3 linked regions of the Drosophila melanogaster genome follow. The protein of the gene in region 1 interacts with the protein of each later gene in a pairwise test. Each region holds a gene or a part of one and is shown on either strand. Other genes may lie near its edges.

Evidence for each region. Proteins that work in one complex are often made in the same cells at the same time.
Region 2: the proteins of RPA2 (region 1) and ohgt interact in a two-hybrid assay, tested with the Drosophila melanogaster proteins (one large-scale study listed by BioGRID).
Region 3: the proteins of RPA2 (region 1) and Npl4 interact in a two-hybrid assay, tested with the Drosophila melanogaster proteins (one large-scale study listed by BioGRID).

Annotation. Positions count from the first base shown.
Region 1 is NT_033779.5:20,923,994-20,928,251, reverse strand, and holds RPA2 (replication protein A2), read left to right. Parts: upstream 1-2,104; 5' UTR 2,105-2,205; coding exon 2,206-2,218; intron 2,219-2,276; coding exon 2,277-2,338; intron 2,339-2,401; coding exon 2,402-2,988; intron 2,989-3,077; coding exon 3,078-3,156; 3' UTR 3,157-3,277; downstream 3,278-4,258. Other genes in the region: Nthl1 (Nth-like DNA glycosylase 1), read left to right, coding at 453-563, 628-1,095, 1,161-1,331, 1,388-1,804.
Region 2 is NT_033777.3:10,046,843-10,052,162, forward strand, and holds ohgt (ohgata), read left to right. Parts: upstream 1-2,356; 5' UTR 2,357-2,453; coding exon 2,454-2,475; intron 2,476-2,547; coding exon 2,548-2,832; intron 2,833-2,897; coding exon 2,898-3,537; intron 3,538-3,597; coding exon 3,598-4,100; intron 4,101-4,171; coding exon 4,172-4,479; 3' UTR 4,480-4,685; downstream 4,686-5,320. Other genes in the region: mtTFB2 (mitochondrial transcription factor B2), read left to right, coding at 1-360; CG12811 (uncharacterized protein), read right to left, coding at 539-927, 999-1,101, 1,575-1,694; fancl, read right to left, coding at 4,705-4,743, 4,801-5,320. UniProt on the Drosophila melanogaster protein: Substrate recognition component of a DCX (DDB1-CUL4-X-box) E3 protein ligase complex that mediates the ubiquitination and subsequent proteasomal degradation of target proteins.
Region 3 is NT_033777.3:25,620,611-25,625,930, reverse strand, and holds the start of Npl4 (nuclear protein localization 4), read left to right. Parts: upstream 1-2,185; 5' UTR 2,186-2,351; coding exon 2,352-2,453; intron 2,454-2,525; coding exon 2,526-2,759; intron 2,760-2,821; coding exon 2,822-2,979; intron 2,980-3,040; coding exon 3,041-3,569; intron 3,570-3,629; coding exon 3,630-3,828; intron 3,829-3,890; coding exon 3,891-4,051; intron 4,052-4,092; exon of another isoform or gene 4,093-5,320. Other genes in the region: Ssadh (succinic semialdehyde dehydrogenase), read left to right, coding at 1-999. UniProt on the Drosophila melanogaster protein: May be part of a complex that binds ubiquitinated proteins and that is necessary for the export of misfolded proteins from the ER to the cytoplasm, where they are degraded by the proteasome.

The DNA.
Region 1 (4,258 bases):
CTGGGATCTCGACGTTCATACTAGATCGACTGATCCTGATCAAGAATATATATATATGTAGTTGGTCGGAAACGCTTCCTTCTGCTTATTACTTACTTTTCAACGAATCTAGTATACGAATATCGGGTATAAAATTTATTTTAAATATCTTTGTTAAATTTTATGAGCTGTTGATAACGAAATCGAAAAGTTTGTACTTTTTTTTAAATCAAGTGCATTAAAATTAAATTTGTGGCTTAAAATGTATTGTAATAGCTTATAACTTATTATGCTGTAGCATACGAAAAATGGTTCTTAAAATCCTAACTTGCATGAGTTGAATATTTCGAAATTTCAAATGTTCCCGGCTACTTAGTTGTAAAGTGTGGCCGTTTCTCCTACATCGAAATCGATAGGTTCGAAATGTAAACAAACATGGAAACTGAAACTGAAGCGCAGAAATTGTATTAGCTATGGCCAAAAATGTAAAGAAATTAACGTTGGCCAACAAGTTGGCAAAACGCGGAGATCTTATAAAACCCACGGAAATAAAAAGTCGTCCAAATAGGGCGGATAACGTGAGGGTAGGCGGAAATGCATGATAAACAATGAAATTGATACTCAAGACGCAGTTTCTAAATCTTCCAGGATATAGAGGATCTGGTTGGTGTATCTGCTGGCGCAGCAGGATCGAGTAGCTCAGTGTTCTTCTCCCCCGTGCAAACCCGCAAGCAGCGTCTCTTAAATGGGGAAGCCGTGAAGAAAACTAACATTAAAATGGAGCCCTTGTCTCCAGCTCGAGTGGCACCCAAAAAGTTTAGAAAGGATGATCGCATGGTAACCAGAGTTCAAATGGGTTCGGCTACTGTGGTCATATGCAAGGTGGTCCCTGATGCTGTGGACTCCCCAGTGAGAGTGGATAAGATAAGAGAGGAGGTGGAACCCCAAATAAAACAGGAAGCTCCGGAGGATTCCCCTTCTTTTTCTGAGGTGCAAGCACCACATCCTTTGTGGTTTAACCACCTAGAAAACATTCGCATTATGAGAAACTCCAGAACTGCGCCAGTGGACACCATGGGATGCCACCGATGCGCCGATTTAAAAGCAGACTCGAAGGTATTTCCAATAAGTGGAATTAAGTACATAGAAGAATATGTTACAAGCAAACAACTTCCTTGCAGACCCAGCGCTTCCAAAACTTAGTGGCATTGATGCTGTCCAGTCAAACCAAAGACCAAACTACTTATGAAGCCATGAATCGCCTTAAAGACCGAGGTCTAACTCCACTGAAAGTAAAGGAAATGCCAGTGACTGAACTCGAGAATTTACTGCATCCCGTATCCTTCTACAAGGTTTGGTGGAATTAATAATAAATAAATATATCGCACTTACTCTCGATCTCTTCCAGAACAAAGCTAAATACCTCAAGCAAACCGTGGAGATACTGACGGACAAGTATGGTTCGGACATTCCAGATAATGTCAAGGACCTTGTAGCTCTTCCAGGAGTTGGCCCCAAGATGGCCCATATATGCATGGCAGTGGCCTGGAACAAGATAACCGGAATCGGAGTGGACGTCCACGTCCACCGCCTTTCTAACAGGCTGGGCTGGGTGCCGAAGCCCACCAAGGAGCCCGAGCAAACCCGTGTGGCGTTGGAGAAGTGGCTGCCATTCAGCCTCTGGTCAGAGGTCAATCATTTGTTCGTGGGATTCGGACAAACCATTTGCACCCCAGTGAAGCCAAATTGTGGGGAGTGCCTGAACAAGGACATTTGTCCTTCAGCCCATGCTGAAACTAAAGAAAAAAGGAAGAAAGACCGATAGGAAAGAGGTTCAGCGAACGCTGAAAAAGGTTTTAGGTTTCTAAGTGTTTCTGAAATTATTAGTGCTAAGAAAAATATTGTGTTACCCATAAGAAAATAAATGAATTATTAAGGGGGCTGTAAGTCCTGTAAAAAATAAAAAATTTTGTGGTTTTTCTTTTTTTGTTTTAACTGAAAAAGGTATATTCCCAATTTATTACAATAATTCAGTTTTTCAGGAAAAATATTGAAATATTGACACTACAATATTTCGTATTTCTTATATACTAAATAGATGTTATTCCTACGTGTTCGACCTACGGCCACACTATCAGCTCTACGTTCGCGCGTTTTATTGTTTACCAGCGGCCCTTGTGAAATTATATAGAATACTCAATTACAAATCCCTCAAAAGCCAAGAAAATGAATGATTCATGTAAGTATAGCCCGTAGCTCAGAGAAATTAAGGGAACTAATAACGAAGCTCGTTTTAGTTGGAGATTTCAATGCCACACAAACTGCGCCAACTGGAGCCGCCAGCAATCAAAAGGGAGAAGTAAGTGAGTGAGACGCCAGTAAAGTTGCACAACCTAACATGATTCCGTATGATTGCAACTAGGGAATAGTGCCCCTGGTGGTGAAGCAGATTGTGGACGCCCCAGAGGGAAACATCGAGTTGTTCGGCATGCAGTACGCCATGGCATGTGTTGTGGCCATAGTGCGGAACGTGGAGACTTCCTCGACGAAGATCACCTACACCCTGGAGGATCATAGCGGCAGGATCGATGCGCACTACTGGCTTGAGGAGGGCGACGCTCTCAAGGCACCCGAAGTAATGGTCAACAACTACGTGAAGGTCTACGGCACCACCCGGTCGCAAGGCGGTTCCAAAACCCTAATGATCTTCAAGCTACTGCCCGTTTTGGATCCCAACGAGGTGTGCACCCACCTGCTGGAAGTACTCAATGCCCGCTACAGGGCCGAGGACTACCAGAGCAAGGGTGGAGCTGGAGCTGGTGCAGGGGCTTCTTCCGGCTCAGGCTCCATAGCTGATTTCACCGCCTCCCAGAGCTCGGCCATTGTCAGTGGGCTGGAGCCCAAGCAGCAGGCCGTATTCCAGGCCATCAAGAGCAATGTTTCCGAGGAGGGCATCTCCCGCAAGGAACTGAAAGCCAAATTCTCCCACATCAGCGACTCTGAGTTGACGTAAGTTGTTTATCCAAAACTATTGCATCATTTGATATTCTTTATTAATTAATATTAATTATAACATTTTATTGTTCCTATTTTTACAGCAACATTCTGGACTTTATGATTTCCGAGGGACACATTTATTCCAGCATTGACGCAGATCACTTTATTTGCACAATGTAAATCAAATCGTGTAACCACTATTTAATTTAAAAATGCGTATTGAATATATGTATTAAGTTTTTGAAAAACGGGAACATTTTCCATATATTAGTTGTACATTAAATATTTCTTATATAATCAGAAAGTGATTTTGGGATATTTTTTATTGGGACTGTTGAAAATGTGTATTTGAGGAAATCTTGCTCTTCAAGTTGCCGGTGTATGTGTATATTTACGGCTTATCATATGAAAAGTCTTCGGATTCATAGTCCTAAGGGAATTTAAAATATCTTACAAAAAAGATAGAAAACCTGAAATATTTTAATTATTTTATGTTTAATTAATATTCTTGTTCATTTATAAAATTGTAATGGATTATAAAGTTTTTTTGAATCGTTTCACTTTGCTTCATTTGATAAAAGGATGTGATAAGTTCATACCGCTTTATTTCATTATCAATTTATTTTTTAGATATATAACTAACTAACTTTTAACGCTAGTAAGTTAATTGTTTAATTAGGTAATGCATATTTTGATTGTATATCGGGCATAGTTAGATCGGATTGCAAAAAATTTATAAAATTCATTCAATGCGTTTTATTTCATTAGTTTTTGAATTTATCATAGAAAATTACAAGCTCAGGAATCAAAATCAAAACATAATAGGCATGCAAATCAAAAATTAAGATTAATATTTGTTGTGGGAATTTATAGCGCAAGAGAGCATTCCCCTTGGTCCCCAGGATCTTGCCAGTGAAGTTGAACTGCGCAAGTGTAAGGATTCATTTTGCGGTCGGAGTGGATAGCTAATTGTATAAAAAACCACCTTGGGATACTGATTAACGGGCACGAAGACCTTTTGGGTAATCTTTATCGGCTTCTGCTTGTACACGTCTGCGTATAACTCCTTGCCGGGAATACGTCCAGTGCCATAGACACGGTCCACAGCTGCAATGTGGGATTAATACCATTAAAATACCCTGTAAAGGGCCGAATTGATTTTACCCTCGGCAATTAGCAGTGCGCAAAGTGGAAACTCCGCGGACAATCACTGGCTCTCCTCGACCAAATCGGCGAGAAACTTTTGGGTCACCTCGTTCAGACGCGGCTGGTGGTCGTGGGA
Region 2 (5,320 bases), on another chromosome or scaffold:
ATCTATCCAGATGAATTGCCCAAGAAACTACCACAGTACTCGTGCCAGAGTACTACAATGAGCACCAGAAACTACTATCCCGGCATCAACATCTACACACAGTTCGGAGATCTCCTGCCCAGTCAGATTCTGACGCTATTTAGTCAGTTTCGTCAGTGGCCGGAGTACGGCGAGAGCTCTTTCCTCGCCTCGCTGGAAAATGCGCTGCTCAAGCTGGAGACTGCCAATGACGAACCAAACCTAGAGGATGGCGTCACGTTGCCAGAAGAGGATGATGCCGAAGCAGATGAAATTATCGAAGAAGAAAGCCCTGTACCCGCCACCACTCCCGTCAAGAGGCGCAGGAAAGCCAGTTCTTAGTTGTACATAATAGCGTTTTGCTTGTGCAAGAAAAATAAAGAATTGCCTTCATTTTGAGAAATGGTATGTAATCATATTATATCTGTCTTAAACATGGAACAAATTCGCTATTCTTCACTGGCCTCCACACATTACCAAACAGAACACAATACATTTAAGCACATAATGTTAAAATCCTTTAAGGACACTTTCCCTGAGCCATTAGGCGACTGCCGCGTGCGCATTTCTCGGCCAAATCAACGTAGTATTCCGGCGGAGCCTGCTCCGTGTCCGAAATACGCGTCTCCAGTTGAACGGACAGCTTCACACAGTCCACCATCAAGTTGGTGGGATTCACGCCAAGTACAAAGGAAGCCTCCTGGTAAGGACACGGGTTTTCTTCCTTCTTGGTGTTTCCGAACTCATAGCATGTGTCGCGAATCATAAAGTGTCCGTCCCTGTTACATGGATTTCGTACGCACTTCGGGATGATCTCCTCCTTGTAGAGCACCAGAATCTGTCCAGCCTCACAGGGTCCCTGTCGGTAGGCCGGATAGCAGCCATCGGTCTCCGGGTAATACAGTGTGGCTATCGAAGGGGAAGTACCCATACGGAGATTATTATGTCATCGCCATGGTAGCTCCATTATGACCGCTCACCTGGCGCGCAGTCGCAAACCCAGTCGTTCTGCTTCTGCTGGTCCCCCGGATAAAGAAGCTGGTGCTTGGGGCATCGGGCTGGCGAATACAGTGGCTTGCGACCCTGTTGATGAGGAGAAAGCGGAGGGGTGTGAGGCAGGAATTCGATTGATTATTGCCAATGGGGCTTGCATACACTACCAAAACAGTCCCCGTATTTTGAAATTCACTTCAAACACACACTTTAGAAGTTTAAAGGTTTGAAACTCTCAAAGTCACCACAGTGATAAAATAAATGTATTTCTTATTTTTAACAAAAAAAAAAATTTTTCAATCACGTTCAACAGTATCCATACAATTAAAAGTCTGTTATTATAATTATTTAACTAGAACCTTAAGCTAGTTTTAAAATCAAAGCAATCATGAAATGTTTTTGAACATTGGTCACTACACAAAATTCCTAATTGGACTCCAACGACTTTCACTTCTGATTGGGAAGGGTATTCGGCGAAAGATGTTGCCCAGTTCCGGCTGGGTTTTCTCTTCCATTTTGGCGTTTCTTATCACAAATGTGGATTGTGTCTGGCTGCAGCTTACCGCAAGGTTGGCCTTCTTCTTATCAATGTCTTGATCCTCAACAAAGGCGATTTGAGCGTGTGCCACTTTCCCAATAAACGCAATAAGCGCGGCGATCAGCAAAAGTTGGGGATTGATCATTGTCCGTATAATCACTTGTTCATGTGATACTCACGGCAATTCAAACAAGTATGAGGCTGGCCAATCTTGACTTAATCTTAATCAATGGGAAACGAAGATCTTCGATAACGATAACGATCTTAGTTGGGTCCAGTTATGTTATTGTTTTACGTTTTCTCGGAAATATTCCAATATTCCAATTGGAAGTTTAGTGCGAATAACCAGAAAAGCAGAACAAAGTGAAATTAAAACATAGTCCAATAAGGGCCAGTTCCAATTGATATTGCTCTCCCGATTACATCCGCTCTTGCTAGTGATGCTCAATACTCAATCAATGCTCAGCTGTTTCTATCGATGAGTTGAAAAAAATAACTTTCTGATCATATAAATTTAAGCCAAGAGAAAAGGGAAAAACTTAAAAAAAATATCTGCACACTTACGTTTGCTTTTGAAATATTGGATTAAGAACTCCTTGTTAAGTAATGCTTAGTTATATTGTCTTCCTATGAGTTGTGGACTACCAAATTACTAAGTGTATCAGAAATTAAAATTGAAAATCGAATAATTTGTTATATAGAACGATAAGCATTACGAGTCTATTTTGGCGCCCAACTACCGAACATTTTCAAAATGTTGCCATTATTGGTTAGCACTGGTTAGCCAATCGCTAACTATCGAAAAGCTCCCATCTCTTATTTTCCTTTGTCAAAATAAAAACCAAATAAATATATATAAAATTCACCTGCAAAACGAAGCAACAAAAGACACTGTACGGCTCAAATGGACGAAGAGGAGAACTCAGGTGGGTGTGGCAGCATCATAGCACTCGCCAAATGTTCCCAATAACATATGTTCATCATATGAAACTGCGCAGAAATCAATTCTGTGCAAGCACGGGATGAAGATGTGCAATTGGAGGACCAACAGTCACAGGGGCTCCAGGATCGGCAGGTAGACGTGATAGAACAGGCTTGGAACAATGCAATGCCAGACGAGCCGTCACCGCCGGCAGAAGATGCCTTCCAAGATCCACTGGCCACCGATGGTGAGGGAGGGGATGCACTTGAGGCCATGGTAGAGAACGTTTTGCAGGACGACACAGCAAGCGAGGGCAGTCATCCCAGCAGTGACATGTCTCTGGAAAGTCCAGGAAGTGAAGGTTAGTTGGCTTACAATCGTTGTGCTGCACATTCCTACTTAACCCGCGTTTTCCATCCTTTCCAGATGATTCCGATCTGGAGAGCCTGCCCCATTGGATGATTCCGCAGAACCGACTGCGCTCCGCCGTAGACATGATGGTCTCGCAAGCCCGCAATCGGGATGGTGGAATCGCTGCACTGCTCAGTGGGGACAACTTCCTACAGCGAGTGCGTAGCATGGTCTTTAGCCAGGAGCGACGGCGCAGTCGCACAAGCGAGGAAACGAGCCAGGAGGCTGCCGAGCAGCCCGTTGATCCACCGCCACAGCAGCCACCTCGACCACCAATCGACATTGGCTTTGACACCAATCTGCCAGCGGAGCATTCATACTTCGGTAATCATTTGAGTCGCGTGCCCGGAGTGGACTACTTGGAGGTGGGCAGCGTCCATCACATGCTCATCTTCTTGCACCAGCACATCCTCTTTCCCGGCGAGGTGCTTCCCTTCATGATCGACGGCCGAATGTTTGACGAGGATATGCCCGGTCTGGACGGTCTGATCTTCGGTGTAAGCTTCCCGCGTTTGCAGCCGCCGGAGGACAACCCACACAAGTTGTATGGGGTCACGTGTCAGATCTACGAAAGGGGCGAAAGCGGCCGAGGATTGGTGTTCTACAAATCACGAGCACTGCAGCGCATTGTCATCAACTGCGATGATATAAAAGGGTGAGTCTTGACTATACGGATCACCTTAAATTCTCCATGATTAATCCCATATCTTTTCAGGTCACCGCAGTACATTGCTCGCAATCCAACTAGCAAATGCTTCAGCAAAGTCAAAATATTGCCCGAGTATTTCCTGCCCGAACCGCTCCAAACTGTTGACATGGGCTCGATGGCCAGATTTCGGGATATACCCTCGATGCGCGACAAGTATCGCAGGTTCCAGCTAAGCACTACCACCTGGCCATCTGATGCCTGCCAAGAGTATTCGTTTTCTTCAATTGTGGAGCGAGCACGCCAGAGGCTGGAGTCCCAAAAGATAGACACAATGCCAAAATGCCCCATTCAGTTGTCCTTCTGGTTGGTGCGTAACCTTCACCTGACCGAGAAGATGATGCGGCTTACCTTCCTCACCGACTCGGTTAACACTCGCCTCCAATTGATCAAAAGCACGTTCAAGGACGAGACACTCTTCTTTTGCCGATATTGCAATAGCAGCTTGGCCCTCTGCTCGGATCTCTTTGCCATGTCCAAACACGGTGTGCAGACACAGTATTGCAATCCAGGTAAGCATAAGGAGAAGTCCAATGTCCGTCTTCTATAAGCAATGAATTCACTGAAACTAACTACTTTACAGAGGGCTACATCCACGAGACAAACACCGTGTACCGGGTGATATCCCATGCCATCGGCTACAGCGGCGAGCCGTCCACAAAGTTTAGCTGGTTCCCCGGCTATCAGTGGCACATTATTCTGTGCAAGTTCTGCGCCCAGCACGTCGGGTGGGAGTTCAAGGCCGTGCATCCCAACCTAACACCCAAGGTGTTTTTCGGTTTGGCCGGCTCCAGCGTGCGGATTGGAAAAGCCAGCGAGTACTCGCCCTTCAATGGAACCACCTATGTGGTGCGGAATATGATGCGGATGATCTCAAGCGATATGGAATGAGGCTGGCGCGTTGTGAAGCGATTTTTCAGATGTCAACTCTGCTGCTGGCGTCGTCAGGAGAATGATGCGGTCCATCAGGTGGGACCTGTTTAATTCGTTTCACAACTACTTTTAGCAAAAACACACGGCGTTTGATGGCGTGGATGTAAACCTAATTGATATTTACGATTATTTGAATAATAAGTTACTCTTAAATATTTGCTTTTAATATTATGGTTACAAATTTCAATCATTTAAAAGTGCCGCAAATGAGGTGGACAGCTTCTGAAAAAGATAAAGCAGTTGTACATTGGCAATAGATGAAATGATAGGCAATATTACCGCCTTGCAGAAGGGACACTGGCCGAAGGAGACCTCCAGAAAGGTCTTGCCATCCATCAGAGTCTTAAACCACTCCTCCAAACAGACGGCATGGCACTTTAGCACACATTTGGCATTGTCGCAGGAGACGAGGGGCACCTCGCCACCATCCAGGCGATAGGCAAAGCAAATGTTACAGCGCAGCTCTTCGTTGTCCTCTTCATCCAGCTTGGGTCCATCCGACCAGTCTGGCATGGGAAAGTAGCACAAGTCGAACATTCGGAGTAGGTTCTTGTGAATGTTCATTTCGGAGTCCCAGTTACTTAGACCATCGCTGAGAACGTGGCGCAGGCGGGCCACCTCTTCCGTGGGCCCAATGATCTTTAGCGACATGGATGCAATGCAGGCAAAGGGATCCGCGATGGTCAGCTTCAAGTAGACGCGATCCTTGAGAGGGAACAGTCGTGTTTTGTGTTTGCTGCTGATGGGCGATGGTTGCAGCACATGACAAAGCTCGTCGATATCCATGAAGTTGTCGTAG
Region 3 (5,320 bases), on another chromosome or scaffold:
AACTTCCCGATGGCTATGATTACGAGGAAAGCAGGAGCCGCCCTGGCCGCAGGATGTACGGTCGTGGTGAAACCTTCAGAAGACACTCCTCTTACTGCCCTGGCTGTGGCCAAATTGGCAGTGGACGCTGGCATTCCAAAGGGTGTGATAAATGTGGTCACCACAAACAAAGCGGCTCCCATTGGCGATCTCTTCTGCAAGAGTCCCGATGTTAGGGGTATATCCTTCACGGGCTCCACTGAGGTGGGCAAACTGCTGTTCCGGAACTCTGCTGATGGCATCAAAAGGATTTGTCTCGAGCTCGGCGGCAATGCTCCGTTCATTGTCTTCGATTCGGCGGACATTGAAAAAGCAGTGGATGGCGCCATGGCCTCGAAGTTTAGGAATTGCGGACAGACCTGCGTCTCCGCCAATAGATTCTTTGTCCAGGACAGCGTCTACGATAAGTTTGTTGGGCAGCTGAAAAAACGCGTGGAAGCTTTGAAGATCGGAGATGGTCAGGGTTGCGATGTGCAAATCGGACCACTGATCAACGAGATGCAGTTCAACAAAGTCAGTGGCTTTGTGGAGGACGCCAGGTCGAAGAAGGCGAACATTATTCTGGGCGGACAGCCGTTGCCCGACAAGGGATCCCTTTTCTACGCACCCACAATTGTCACAGATGTGCCACCCTCGGCGCAACTCTACTCGGAGGAGGTCTTTGGTCCAGTGGTCTCCATCATACGGTTCCGAGACGAAGAAGAAGCGGTAAAGAAGGCAAACGACACCAGGAGAGGCCTGGCCGGTTACTTCTACAGCGAGAATCTGCAGCAGGTGTTCCGGGTGGCCAAGCGACTGGAGGTTGGCATGGTCGGCGTCAACGAAGGCATCATCTCCGCAGCAGAGGCTCCGTTTGGTGGCGTCAAGGAGTCCGGTGTCGGACGGGAGGGTTCCAAACACGGTATCGACGACTATGTGGACATCAAGTACATTTGCATGGGCAACCTCAAGTACGACTGAAGTCCGATGGAGGGATCACCCCCACTGCTTTCATACGCTGTCTTCCACTAGAATGCGATTGGTTTATTGTTGTCTAATTGTAGAATAACACGCCGCTATATTAATAAATGTGCACAAAGTCTACCTGAAGCTAATAGATAATTTCCCTTTTTTAAAATAGCCCGCCTCACCTTTCGATTAATTGGGATTGGTTAACAATCGCTTTAAATTGACAAGAAACCGATCATAGAGACATCGATATCCGGGAGTAATCGATTTTTCTCCACCTCTGGGCAGACTATCGCCATCCCCACAGCTGTGCGACAGAGACAGAGACAAAATTACAATGCCAAATGACAAAATTGTAAGTAAATTGTTGATAAAAAATTAAAAAGTGCATTTAGGGTGGAAACTAAGCGAATGTCTTATTGGTGAAGTGTGTGCAGTGAAATTGGTCAAGTGTTTCCCTATAGCTACCCACCAAAAAAGCCGGCAAACAATGTCGGTTTTCCAGTTCGCTGGCGTTTGTTGTTGTTGCCTAAATGTATGGAAAATATATTTAAAGTGCATTTCAGCCGGCAAAAGCGAAGCATATAATGCATAATGAACCCATTTGGAAGCACTCCCGGCAGTGCAAATCCACTGCAAGTCCCGAAATGCGGCCAAAGGTGCTGGCGGTGAAATTGAATGGTACCATGACTTGTAGATTTTCCACTGAAAGAGTGCAGTCTAGGCGGCAGTAGGACTGAGGGGAGTGTGCGGGGGTTTTGAGACCAAAAACCGATCCAAAAACCAAATAAATTATTAACAATTGTTGGCTGCAATCCGCCTGGGGGAAATGCATTTGAGGATATTTCTGTCTAATAAAGCAATTTCTGGTTGATAGGGTGCTACACTCAGAAAAATGTCTCTGCGTAAAATTAATTTTTGAAATATATGTTTTGTAAAATAAGAAAACTGCACATACCAGTAAATAGCACAACTTAAAATTTTAAATACAAATTTAATATAATTTTTTTGTTTTAAAACTGCATGCAGCTTGTCTTTCAAAATGCTGTTTTATTTTTTATTTAAAGCTCATACAATTACAGATCCGAATTTACATATACAGGCATTAGTTCTCTTTTTAACTATGCACTCATTTTGGCAACGAATTGCATTTGTTTTTAATTGCGATGCCAGATAAATTTCCGCAGTCAAGTTCGCGCCTTCATGACGTACAGTTCGAAACACTAAGCAAAAAGCCCTACAGGCTTTGGTAGCTAATAGCTACACTTGACAATCCCCCTTACCCAATCTACCACCCACCACCGCCCACACAAGAGCCCACCCAACCGCCCATCACCCAGTGACCCGTCCAGAAAGTCCAGAAAATGGCCTGTGCACCACTGCTGCTCGAGCAATTCATCTACAAGAAGCGCAATTTCGCCTACGCCTTTGTGCGCCATCGTCTGTTTGTGTTATGTAAACAATCGGTTGGATCAGAAATTGCCAAATTCACCTGTCCTAGTACTAATTAGAATCTGTTATTCATTTGTTAATTCCAGCTAATTCGCGTTCAGTCGGCGGAGGGCATCAAACGCATCGAGATCTCGCCCAAGTCAAATCTAAAGCATCTGTACGACAGCGTTCAGAATGCCCTGAAGGTGGATGGATTTGGTCTCTTCAAGGAGCGCAACTTCCTCACAGAGCTGCAGGCAAGTGGCTCCCAGCTGGTGGGGACTTCCTTGAGGCATGGCGACATGGTCTACTTAAAACAGATGGCTGGCACATCATCGCGCGTAAGTTGATCATATAGAGCAGAACGATCGGGGACTAACCTGCATTTTTCACCACTTCTCAGCGCACTAGCACCACTGTCCTGGACAGTCAGGCGTTCAAGACTAGCACCATTAGCAATCCAAACAGCGCTCGTCCATCCTTCAATGTGATCGAAGATGACGTGGACCAGGCTCTGAGCAAGGCTGATGGCACCATTAAGCGCGAACGTGATAGCAAGCTGTAGGCCTTGATTATACAATTAATTGTAAAATTAAACTGATCAACCTATAACTTTTTGTAGGTGCCACCACAATGCCAACGGCCGTTGCGTTCACTGCTCCGCACTGGAGCCCTATGATGAGTCCTATCTGAAGGAGCACAATATCAAGCACTTGTCCTTCCACTCGTACATACGAAAGCAGACATCCGGCATGGATCAGGGCAAGTACTTTGTCTTCGACGACATCAATTGCCGCATCAAGCCGGGATGTCGCGAGCATCCACCATGGCCCAAGGGCATCTGCTCCAAGTGCCAGCCGTCGGCCATTACGCTGAATCGTCAGACATATCGCCACGTGGACAACGTCATGTTCGAGAACACTAAGATCGTGGAGCGCTTCCTCAACTACTGGCGCACCACAGGACACCAGCGCATGGGATATCTGTATGGGACGTACGAGCAGCACACTGATGTTCCGTTGGGCATTCGGGCCAAGGTGGCTGCCATTTATGAGCCGCCACAAGAGTCTACCAGGGATTCGATCAATATTCAGCCGGATGAGTTCGCCGACGATGTGGATGCCGTAGCCAGTGCGCTGGGACTGAAGAAGGTTAGTTAGTTATAGACAGTAGCTATGTAGCATTAGTATTGACTTTTGTGACATTTATAGATTGGTTGGATTTTCACTGATCTCATCACGGACGATGCGAGTATCGGCACTGTCAAACAGATCCGTGGCATCGAGTCGCACTTTATTACGGCCCAGGAGTGCATCACAGCTGGCGAGCTGCAGAATCGACATCCAAATCCGTGTAAATATGCCTCCAATGGCGTCTTCGGCTCTAAGTTTGTGACCATTTGTGTAACAGGTAAGATTCACGATTTAATACTGCTTAATGAACTAGTACCAAAATAGTTTTTAACATTACAGGAGATAAAACCAAACAAGTGCACATGGAAGGCTATGCGGTTTCGGCTCAGTGCATGGCTCTGGTGCGCGATAATTGTCTGATACCCACTAAGGATGCGCCCGAGCTGGGCTACGTGCGTGAATCCACGGACAAGCAGTATGTTCCCGACGTTTTCTATAAGGTAAGTTAGAAAGTCTCCCCCCCATTCAAGCAAAATCAGTTATCGGGCAACCTTTATTGAATTACGTTCACACATTTACACAAACAACTTCCATATTTAGACATCAATACGAATGGGATTTGGTTTTTCAGTTTGATACATGCAAAGAAAATTTGGGTGTCAAGAGCAACGCCAATTCAAACATTTGACATCTAGAGGCTTACATTATCTTGGATTACGTTGATTTATTTATGGAACAACTTCATTATTTTCCTTATCCTTCTCGGTTTGTACTTCTCATCATTGCTCTGGGTTCTCCTTCAAACGTTCATTTTATTTTTCCTATACCTAGGACATTCATAAACAATGTTGTTATTTAGCGCATATTCAATTGTTAAAATAACTTTCTGAGCAACTGCCAAGCCAATCACAATTTTCCAGTTATTACCCTTATTTTTTTTTATTTATTTTTATTTTGCCAAACTGTTTTGTTCTATCTAATGCTTAATTGTGATACGCGTTTTTATTATTTTGGAAAATATAAGATTTCGATTTGATTTTTTTCTTTTCAATTGAAGTTAATCGTTGATTGATTGATTACTTAAAATAATTTAAAGTATAATAAGTCTACAAATTTCGTAAAATTGATTTCGATTTGTTCCTAAAAAGATTCTTTGCCTTCCTTTACATCGCTAAGGTCATATTATTACTTGATTCCCTTATTTTTATGGATGGCTATTCTTGGCGTTCATTATTTCATCCATCACAAACATAGCCTTAGTTATGATCACATCAAATGCATATTTAGACACCGAAAACTATCTCGTTTATTTACTTATTGCTAATAGGTTTATTTCATATTAATTATTAACTTGAATTGACATTAATTACATGTCAGCTATGTATTTGGATTTCACCTTACTCGTGGTTTCAAATTTTTAAGTTTTTATTGTAGCTAATTTACTATATCCAGGTATCGTCGTAGCGCTCCAACGCACATTTAGTGTCGTTTTCCTTAAGCTAAACTTATTTAAATACTCAAGGTCTGTTACAATTTCCACCTTGTCCATGAATCTGAAATGTTTATAGATCATTGATAGTCTTTTTTTTATTTAAAATAGCATCCAAAACGTTTCAATAAGTTGTAAATTGTTTATAAAAATTCTTTCTTTCTTTGTTAAAAAAATTGGCTTCTGTTGCTGAAAATGTCGAGTTTCAAGTGTCTTACATTGATCGTTTATTTTTACAAAATTTATACCAAGATTTGCATTCCAAGAATAAAATAGATAT